3 linked regions of the Xenopus tropicalis genome follow. The protein of the gene in region 2 interacts with the protein of the main gene of each other region in a pairwise test. Links are inferred from orthologs where the notes say so. Each region holds a gene or a part of one and is shown on either strand. Other genes may lie near its edges.

Region 1 (3,256 bases), on a different chromosome or scaffold from region 2:
AAGGCAAAGCTGACGGATAGGAGCCCTGGGAAGAAGGCAAAGCTGACGGATAGGAGCCCTGGGAAGAAGGCAAAGCTGACGGGAGCCCTGGGAAGAAGGCAAAGCTGACGGATAGGAGCCCTGGGAAGAAGGCAAAGCTGACGGATAGGAGCCCTGGGAAGAAGGCAAAGCTGACGGATAGGAGCCCTGGGAAGAAGGCAAAGCTGACGGATAGGAGCCCTGGGAAGAAGGCAAAGCTGACGGATAGGAGCCCTGGGAAGAAGGCAAAGCTGACGGATAGGAGCCATGGAAAGAATGTCAGGGTTGGGGCAGTGTCTGTGGGATATGGGGGGACCCATGTGGGATATGGGGGGGCCCATGTAGGGGGGAACAGAGACACATTATTATATGAGGGAGGGGATAGGATCAGGTACTCACCCCCTGTACCCCATTTGGGAAAGAATAGTTAATGGTTATGGTGCCGCAGCGATAGCCGGACAATGGCATGTTGGATGTTGAGTGGGTCATTGTGCCGTCAGGTTGGTTCCCTGTGACCAGTCCGTATGGGACGTTACACACTGGGCAGACTGGTTTGTGCTTCTTGGTTTCTTCCCAACACCCGGCACAGATGACGTGTTTGCATTTCTCCAGCACCAGTTTGGGTTTCGGCTCACACATACAGATGGGGCACTTATCCTCCTCTTCCTCAGGTTTCTTTCTTACTTCGGTGGATGGGCCCTCGCCCGTGTCCATTGGCTCCTCCCCCTCTGCGCCGGAGGCACCGCCATTTAGCCACTGACCCAACAACTTCTCGGCCGCGTGTATGTTACCCGGGGACCCAATCAGATCCAGGGATCCGTTGTGCCAGGTACTGATGATCTCTATCTGGTTCTGTATGAGCCGCTCCTGGACTGAAGACAATTGGGTTTCCGGAAATTCTGGTTTCACTTTGATTTCTCTCGTGATGATGTTGGAGAGAGTTTTGTGCCAGAGACAGAGGAAGATCTGGCAGGCGTGGGGCGCGAGGTCGGGGGGCCCATTCCTGGGGCAGAAACGGATCTGTACTTTCCCTTTATCCCCGTTATTTCCACTCGCCGTTATGGTTACATCGTATTTATCTTCTATTTCCCGAATCTGATTGGCTTTCAGCTCCTTCAGGATCTCCCATTGGCTCCCGCTGACGCTCAGGTCTCGGCTCATGTTGCCGATGGAGATGGGAATGACCCTGTGGGGCGCGGGGGGCTCAGTCGGACCCTCCTCTAACAGCCTCTTGGCCTGGGCTAATTCCCGCTCGGGGCCCCTCAGCGTCACCGTGTCCCCCTCCATTATGGTCTGCGTTTTGCCGCAATGTTCCCGCACTCTGCGCCCGACCTCACTCGCCGGCACCTTCGTTTCACTTAATTTCACTATTATCTGACTCCAGTCTGCGATTATCTTCTGAATGGCGTCGGTGAAACACCGACCGGCTTTCTCGGCGCTGGAATCGGACCCCATTGGAATAAAACGTATTTCGTTCCCCGAGGAGCTGCTGGAATCCCTCATTTCCACCTTAAATCGGTTCCTTATCTTTTCAACCGTATCCGGGTAGATTTCCATAAAGTACTGGTATAAACCTGGCGGAACGGAGACTGTATCTTCCCCTTGCGCTGGGGGCCCGTTACCCCCATCAGAGGGCAGGAAGCTGGGGTCACTGGGGCCCATTATTTGCCCCCTCAGATAGTCGTGCACCTGTTTAATTGCGGAGAAGGAGCCGGTCACCTCCAGTTTCCCGTCGGATCCGTTTCTCACTTTAACAGATGCAAATAATTTCTTTTCCATTGCACTTTCCAACAATGCGCGGAAGGCGGGGCCTATAAACGCAGTGACCTCAGGGAATATCTGCAAAAAAAAAAACCAGAAACTTTATAGGGAATTTAATGAAAAATTAACAAAAGTAGCGCAAATAAAGGTCATTTCTACTCACTGACACAAACTCCTCCCCCAGTTAAAGGGACACAACGCCCTAAATCAGAAGTTTCATTGCATTTGGTTAAAGCCCCCCCTGTCTTGTGTAACTGCTGCTGATACTTAGTACAGTCATATACAGCCACATCATGTTACCCATCTGCCTATAGGTCCCAGGGTATTAAGCACTTAAGCCTGAAAGTCACTGGGAATCTGAATATACTGCAGGGGTTAAATATGGGGGCTATTTGCCCCAGTTGGACCTGAATGCCCCCCAAAGTCACTGTAACACACATGGATGAGACTGATTATTATTTGGGAAAGAACGACTCCTGTCGAATGTCAGAAAATTGTCGTATTTGCGCCGACGTAATCACAGACCAGTTTTCCAGCATTTTTCTACCTTTAAAGACAATTTTCAAAAAAATGTTGCTAAAAAGTGGGCGTGGCTATTTTGTGCGGTATAAACAACCTTTCTGACAATTAGTGACATTTTTCAGACATTTTCTACACCAAAATGTCTCCACCGTAAGGGAATGTTGAGGAAAATGCCGATTGGCCGTAAGCAATAGCCATAGTTTGCATGTATATATCGTAAAATGGCGGCGTTACGATGAGGTTCCGTCTGTGGATCTGCCACACTTACAGCATCTTTACATGAGTCCCATGAGTCTAGCACTGCCCCCCAGGGGCTGATGGGAAGCCAATTGGGCAGAATGGGTCGATCCTTATTGTACAACTGGGAATGTGCCAATAGCTCTATAGTAAGTTACACAGTACTACTCACACCCCCATTAAGGCACTGCTCTCTAAAGGGGCCCTTGGGGGTGGGAAAGGTCCTGACTGAACCCCCATTTCCATCTGACCTGAATCTCTAAGCCAATTGGCCCGGCCTCCAAGCCCAAGGTGCCAGCCAGTAACATGGGTAAGAGGGGTCGGCATGGGGGGTAAAACCCCAAGTGAGATTTTCTTACATCGCTTGCTGCCAGACTCTGACTTACAATCTCCAGAACCCAACCCTGCTGGACTCACACAACAGAACCACATAGGGAAAGTGCTGATGGGTTGGTACCTCCTGAGAAGGATCCAGTTGGGTTGAACTCACTCCCCTTTGCCCCGGGGGGGCAGCTGTCTGGGGAACTCTATGAGGCTCTTCCTTCCTCTCGCTGTAAGTCTCGGCCTCCATATTCACTGGGCTCCCATCCTCTTCCTCAGATAATCTCAGGTCCACATACACTGGATCAGCACCTTCTGGGGCTTTTAAAGAAATTTTATGATCCTTTTTCTTCAATACATTGTCCTTGTCTGCAAGAAAAACAGGAGGGATAAACAT
Region 2 (4,258 bases):
GAGTTAAAAAATAAATAAAATTACTTTAGAGTGTTATTCCCCTTTTAATAATTTACCAAATTCCAATAAATACACCAACAATAAAGAAAATGAAAATAAAATAAGGGGATATATTTTTCTACTAAGAAGTCAAGACAGCTTTTGTGGCTGCTTGTAGCCATAGCTGGACTTATCTATTTGCACAACTTGAGCAGACCCTCGTCAAAAAAAAAAGCAATGTGTATTACTAAATATCACTTAGTATCACTGAGATATTATGTGCATTCTAATCCAACTAGCTGCACCAGGTTCAGCCTAATAAAAGGTTCAGAATTTAAGGTGTCCATACATAGGGCAAATACTGGCTGCGATTCTTGATTGAGTCAGCAGGCTACTGACCCATCTGGCAGATCAAATACATTAGCCCTATGTCCAGGGCTAGGAGCTTCTGCTGCTCATGGAGAAAGTAAAATTGCAGAAATGACCACTAAAAACCTCTGGTGAACACTGCAGCTTAAGCTAAGTGAAGACAAACGGGGTGTAGTGCTGCATGTTATGATACTTTCTAAAAATCTTTTGTGGCCCTTGCTTAACCTAAAATAAATGGAGGACAAAGAAGAAATAAGCAATTACTTTATAACATTAGAAAATGTGTATTTCTTAATATGGTGAGCGATATTACTAATCCTAATTTGTAACTGCAACAATTTTTAGATGCAGCTTCTCAATGAATGGGCAGCACGCTGTCTCAAATGAAAGTTTCTCCATAAAGTGGCAGGAGGATATGCGGCAATGCCAGCCTTTGATCTAGCGCACACGAGAAAGTTACAGTTAACAAATTTGCACTCCACTGTTTCACAGAGTTACCCAGTGATTATGACCAGAAGCCACATATTTACCAAAGATTGAATCTAGAAGTCATCATAGTCTGCAAGAGTGAAATTCTGCTACTCTTTATACATTAATATGAAACTTTAGAGGGTATATTTATCAATACATATAAATGAGTTTACACTTTGATAAATATGTTTTCACTAATTGAATAGAAATTAATATAATGAGGGAAATTTCACTGTGGCTGACTATGGCAAGCTGTAGTTTAATACTTTGATAAATATCCCCCTTTGATTTCATTTCTGAAGTTTCACTGAATGGATTTCAAGGGCCATTAATAAGGAGAGAAAAAGTTGGAAGGGAGAGCCAGAGGGAACTGCAGTCTTTTCTACACAACTGTCCTACTTTTCCATGTCTCTAATACAATCCTTTAGTACCTTCTACATGACTCTAAACACTTCTGCAGCCCCACTCTATGGCAGTCTCTAATAAACTCCTGTCAAATCGTTCCAAGGCAGTCCCTAATACACTCCCATAAAAAAAACTCCATGGCAGCCCGTGATACACTCATGTCAAACCTATCCCTATCAATCTCTAACATACTTTTGTAGTAGTGATGAGCGGGTTGACCCACAACCTGCATTTTACCCTTAGGTCAGGCAGGTTAGGGTTGGGGGGTGTTGTGGGTTCAGGTTGGGTGTGGGTCAGACTAGGGAAGCACCTCTGCTCCTGAACTTTCCCTTCCTTGGAACCTAAGGCGAGAGCAGCAAACAATGTAGAAAGACGCAAGTACGTGTTTTAAATGCAAATCCTATATCGGCAACAATTTGTGGGATACGGTCAGTTGCAGGTTGACTTTTTCCTGACCCCCACACCACTATCTTGTAGTCTCTTCTGCAGTCCCTTTCCATGGCAGTCTCTACACAATCCTGTAGTCTCTTGATGGCAGTTTCCAATTCACTCCTATAGTACCTTTCCACGGCAGTCTCTAATACACTTCTGTAATTCTCCTCCAAAGCAGTCTCTAATACACTTCTGCAGTCCCTCTCCAAGGCAGTCCCTAATACACTTCTGCAGTCCGTCTCCAAGGCAGTCCCTAATACACTTCTGCAGTCCGTCTCCAAGGCAGTCCCTAATACACTTCTGCAGTCCCTCTCCAAGGCAGTCCCTAATACACTTCTGCAGTCCCTCTCCAAGGCAGTCCCTAATACACTTCTGCAGTCCCTCTCCAAGGCAGTCCCTAATACACTTCTGCAGTCCCTCTCCAAGGCAGTCCCTAATACACTTCTGCAGTCCGTCTCCAAGGCAGTCTCTAATACACTTCTGCAGTCCCTCTCCAAGGCAGTCCCTAATACACTTCTGCAGTCCGTCTCCAAGGCAGTCTCTAATACACTTCTGCAGTCCCTCTCCAAGGCAGTCTCTAATACACTTCTGCAGTCCCTCTCCAAGGCAGTCCCTAATACACTTCTGCAGTCCGTCTCCAAGGCAGTCTCTAATACACTTCTGCAGTCCCTCTCCAAGGCAGTCTCTAATACACTTCTGCAGTCCCTCTCCAAGGCAGTCTCTAATACACTTCTGCAGTCCCTCTCCAAGGCAGTCTCTAATACACTTCTGCAGTCCCTCTCCAAGGCAGTCTCTAATACAGTCAAGTAGTCCCTCTCCCTATCAGTCTCTAATACACTCCAATAGTCCCTCCCCATGGCATGCCTGGCTGTGGCAGCCTTCTATACTACCTCTTTAGAGCAGTTTACTGGATTTATCTTAAGCACACTGTCACCAATTGTTGCCCCTCATTGTATATAGCCAGACGCACTTCTGTCTCCTCTCACCTCTTCGCTTTTGAGCACCTCCTTGAACTCCCTTTTGATCCTCTGTGCTGCGATGTTCGCCATAATTGCCCCAGTTTCCGTACTTGACTGAGTCACCTTAAATTGCTGCAGTGCACGTTAAGTACGCCAGGCTTCCTCCCTCCGTGCAGTGCCGGCCCTGTGTGCTCTGCCTCCCCCGCCCCGCACAACGAAACCTAGCACAACAGTACACTGCAAAATGGCGAACCTGACACATGCGCAATACAAGAGTCTGGGCGGCCCACAGGAAGAACTTCCTGACAGGGTCCCTGCTCACGTCACTTTGGCCCGCCCCACAAATGAGACGTAACAGCGCGCCACAGAATCCCCGGGCTCCATTCATGCAGGGCTCAGTCACGTGATGTGTCACTGGACCCCAGCGCTAAACAGAAGAGTCGTGCAGTGTTGTAAAGTTTGGCTTTAGCAGCAGATTTCTATGAAACCAAAGGTCGTAGCCTGCCAGAGCTATGCAATTCTTATTAGAGGATGGGCTGACTACCTGCCCCTAGTAAGCATTTGTCTCAGCAAAATAGATATGCCACAACATGCATTAGTCACCTGACTCGTATTGGAAATCCAGAAGTTCCTGCTTAGTCTGCTGTATGGGAACTTTTTGTTCTCTTCCTTTTCAAAAGTCCTATGACTGGTCATGACCTACATCTGTTATCTAGAAAAAAAATAAAGCAGGGGCATAACTACAAAGGAGGCAGACCATGTGGTTGCAGGGGGGCCCTGGAGTGTAGAGGGCCCAGTAAGGGCCATGACACATAGGGAGATTAGTTGCACCACAACAAATGCCATCCCGTGGCATACACGGCACTGCGATATGCCGAAGTCACCGACATTTCCTCTCAAGGCGACTTTGGCAAATGGCGGCGCTGCGTATGCCATCCTACCGCTGATTTACATTGTAGCCGGTGGGATGGCATTGCGGGGAGATTAGTCGCCCGCAACAACAGAGATTTGTCATGGCAGCTCTAATCTCCCTGTATGTCACGGCCCTGAATAGTGAGCAGTTTTACTATATCTTGATAGGATAGGTCAATTTACCAACGATTTGGGCCCCTAAATTGAATTCTTTTGGGACAAGTGACATCTATTCATGCCACTGGTTGTGTGCATTTTCCTAAGCAGAGATGCTATCTGGATAATATAGCAAAGGCCAGCCAGTTAAATGATACATGCCACTACAGTTATTAAAGGACAAGGAAAGGCTAATACCTTGGGTGGTGCCAGTTACTTAAAATAAATGCACCACCAGAGATACCTTGTGCCTCGATTTGAATTCTATATCTGTATATCCATAGTTCAGTTAATTTTCTGGCTTAAAGGGGTGCTGCTCATCCCAAAAGAAATTACCTTTAAATAGTAACACCTTTTACAATGTGTCATTATGGCTTAATTTTGGCGGAAAATTAAAAGCCACCATTCTTAATTTAAAAGGTATTTTCAAATGCTTTAGAGACTTGGGACTGATTATGTGACATAAAGTCTTTATGATACCATAGCGGTCATTCTTGACCCCAGGGGACAAAGTGCAAGAGCACTAAAGGGCGCAAGAGTGGCTTTAGAGAAGCCTTTCTTCAATCATTATGTTC
Region 3 (3,518 bases), on a different chromosome or scaffold from region 2:
TAATGGTTAAATGATTCCCTTTTCTCTGTAATAATAAAACAGTACCTGTACTTGGTCCCAACTAAAATTTAATAATTCCTTATTAAATGCAAAATAATCCTAGGGGGTTTAATTCTTGTTTATATCATTTTTAGTAGGCGTATTGTATGGAGATCCAGATTACAGAAAGACCGCTTATCTGGAAACCCCATGTCTTGAACATTATGGTAACAGATCGCATACCTGTACAGTCATTTTATTACAACTGTTTTCCCTTAGAATTTAGGTGGCCAACACACCAAGTTGGCAGCTTATCGGCCCATTTATGGGGCCATTATAAGGGCCAAACAACCTATATCTACCCAAAAATCAGCCAGATGTTGATCAGGCAGGTTTTAAAATGCCATCAACATGATTTAATCGTTAAGCCCTTGGGCCAAAACAATTGGATCAATCCGATATCACCTAACTGAAGGTGGGCATATCGGGGAAAGATCCACTCATTTAGCCACCTTGCCAAACTAGGAGATCTTTCAGTACTCATGTGTACAGAACCTTGTTATTCCATGGCATACACTGGTCTATGTGTCCTTTATTTCTGCTTCAGATTTATTTGCTGCCATTTGTTTAGAGTAATGTCCCACGGGGTGATTAGTCGCCTGTGATAAAACTTTGCTACCGCAGTTGACAAATCTCCACGAAAAGCCTTTGTGCCTGCAATACAGGGAATCGCCGGTGGAAAGGCCTATGCATCGCTTCGGTTTTAAGTTGAGTAAAGTTGCCTGCAGGAGGAGGCTGTGTGACTTCAGAAAACCGAAGCGATGTGTAGGCCTTTCCACCACCAATCCCCTTTATTGCAGGCAGAAAGGCTTTTCAGCAGAGATTTAACGCAGGCGACTAATGTCCCTGTAGGACATTACCCTTAGAAGTTCCATTATAACTTGAAGATTAAAGTCAAACAGAGATCAGTCGACCAAGGAGACTCCCTGCAGCCTTGTGTTATATGTAAGGAGGAGTTTGGTATCCATCCCCAGGTATGTACATACAGTACTCTGTATAGGAGGGAATATGAGCATTGTATTTGGAATCCATTTTCAGGTCTGTGTTAGATTAGAAAGAATATAGTAACACCATGAAAACATAATAGCTTTTTTCTGTATATAACACATTGAAAGCCTGGGTTTCTTTCATTTACTCTCATTCACGCTACCTTTGGTGAGCTAAATCCCCCTATAGTAAGCAGGAAAGCCATGTCTTTAGGTAGAAGTGTTAATGTATCCAACTTCCTCTGAGAAATGCATTCACCCTTAAAGTAAACGTTTAACTTGGCTTTTATGGAAATATTGTGATAGCAGAATTCAGCGCTTCCCTGCTCACTCACTGGATCGTTCCATTGTTCCATCCCGCTGACAGTATTATTACTCTGCACTCCTTTGGATTCTTCCTGCCTGACTTACGCTCAGTGTCATACAGTAAGGAAGGAAATAGGGAAAACTGAATCCTATATTTCGCCATCAAGCAAATTTTTTAGCAAAACCCCAGCAAAATTTTGTGAGAAAAATTACTCCAATGCATTTTGAAAAAACTGAAAAAAATTGGCTTCAATGTATTTTTTTAGTTAAAAGATTTTAAATGGAAATTTCCCATTTTGTCTCCAGCACTGTGTGGGCTTCCCTGTAACATTAAAGATCTTCCTACAGACTCTTCCATTATTCTTTATGGCATAACCCTTTCTGGTTTTCAGTCTGGCTGGGCCCTCTTTGCTCAGGGCTGCAAGTAACTATAGCCACACATAAATAAATGCTGGAATTATTTTGCTTACAGTACCTCTTGCCACTTACTTGAGCAGGGTGCAGTGGGCACAGTTTACTCATTACACTAAGCACTGTGTGGCACTATAGGGCGGTACCCAACTATTGCCACTCTAACCGACCTGCCTTGTACATAATGTATATATGAGTGCTATGTAATACAGAAACAATGCTGTGCCTAATGGGAGACGGTGGGGTACCTAACACCTTTCTCTTTATAAAGCTCAGAAACTGGGCATCGTTGGGGCCCCTGCTCTGCCCTTAACACATGAAGAATGGATTAAAGTCAAACAGAGATCAGTCGACCAAGGAGACTCCCTGCAGCCTTGTGTTATATGTAAGGAGGAGTTTGGTATCCATCCCCAGGTATGTACATACAATACTCTGTATAGGAGGGAATATGAGCATTGTATTTGGAATCCATTTTCAGGTCTGTGTTAGATTAGAAAGAATATAGTAACACCATGAAAACATAATAGCTATTTTCTGTATATAACACATTGAAAGCCTGGGTTTCTGCCTTTATTGCCCTATGAGAGTAGGCAGCAGTTATAAGTGAATAGACATTCTAGGCAGTTTGGGAATGAAATGATTCATTAAAAGAGGGGAGGGGATCATTTTCAGGAAATTGGTTCTGGGGAGGCGACATGGTCATGATAACATTTTTAAAGAGCAAAGTTTTCCCTGATCCAGAAATCAACTGTGAGTAACTATATGATTGTTCTGAGCACTAAAGCCAACTGTAAATTGACTGCAGTGGACAACTGGCCATTGTTCCTATTATATAGAGTAGAGAATTTCAGCTATCATGTTTCCCTACAGAAGTGATCCCCAACCAGTGGCTCAGGGGCAACATGTTGCTCCCCAACCCCTTGGCTGTTGCTCCCAGTGGCCTCAAAGTAGGTGCTTATTAGTGAATTCCTGGCTTGGGGGCAAGTTTTAGTTGCATAATAACCAGGTGTACTGACAATCAGAGCCTCCTGTAGGCTGCCAGTCCACATAGGGGCTAACTTGCTTGTGTTGCACCCCCAAATCTTTTTACATTTGATAGTGGCTCGCGGGTGAAAAAAGGTTGGGGATCCCTGCCCTATAGTATATGCATTAATCATAGTAGCACTAGTGCAAGGGAGACATTTAACTAGTTAAAGATGTTTGTTTTTACAAAAAAATGCATGCAGTATTTAAGCAAAAAGGAAAATGACTTTACTGCCATCTAGAGAACACTTAAACAGATTACAGAGCCCTCAGTTATTTTTTTATACAAGTATTATACACTACTAGCAATACCGTGTGTATAAAGTAATTTTAGTCTTAATCCATAACTGGGCTGTGCAGGGTATTCCACTCAGCACTTGCTTGTGTATGTTAAATGCAATGTTTTATCTATGTCAGGCAGTGATCTCCAACCAGTGGCTCGGGGGCAACATGTTGCTCACCAACCCCTTGGGTGTTGCTCTCAGTGGCCTCAAAGCAGCTGCTTATTTTTGAATTTCTGTCTTGGGGCAAGTTTTGGAGGCATAAAGACAATGTGTACTGCTAAATAGGGTCTCCTGAAACCTGTCAGTCTACATTGGGCTACCAAATAACCAATAACAGCCTTTATTGGTCACTCCCTTTTTCCATGCTTGCATTGCTCCCCAACTTTTTATATATTTAAATTTTGCTAACCGGTAAGAAAGGTTGGGATCCCCTGATGTACACGAAAGCCCATTGTGCCATTACCCTGCC

What was found.
Region 1: the proteins of ube2k (region 2) and E3 ubiquitin-protein ligase DTX3L interact in binary tests that used the Homo sapiens proteins (3 or more experiments, as listed by UniProt). The link is inferred for Xenopus tropicalis from reciprocal best matches to the Homo sapiens genes UBE2K and DTX3L.
Region 3: the proteins of ube2k (region 2) and rnf32 interact in binary tests that used the Homo sapiens proteins (3 or more experiments, as listed by UniProt). The link is inferred for Xenopus tropicalis from reciprocal best matches to the Homo sapiens genes UBE2K and RNF32.

What each region holds. Positions count from the first base shown.
Region 1 is NC_030685.2:90,208,211-90,211,466, forward strand, and holds part of E3 ubiquitin-protein ligase DTX3L, read right to left. Parts: intron 3,229-3,256; coding exon 2,996-3,228; intron 1,858-2,995; coding exon 418-1,857; intron 1-417.
Region 2 is NC_030677.2:36,220,635-36,224,892, reverse strand, and holds the start of ube2k (ubiquitin-conjugating enzyme E2 K), read right to left. Parts: upstream 2,817-4,258; 5' UTR 2,706-2,816; coding exon 2,643-2,705; intron 1-2,642. UniProt on the Homo sapiens protein: Accepts ubiquitin from the E1 complex and catalyzes its covalent attachment to other proteins. In vitro, in the presence or in the absence of BRCA1-BARD1 E3 ubiquitin-protein ligase complex, catalyzes the synthesis of 'Lys-48'-linked polyubiquitin chains.
Region 3 is NC_030682.2:17,285,352-17,288,869, forward strand, and holds part of rnf32 (RING finger protein 32), read left to right. Parts: intron 1-2,013; coding exon 2,014-2,156; intron 2,157-3,518. UniProt on the Homo sapiens protein: May play a role in sperm formation.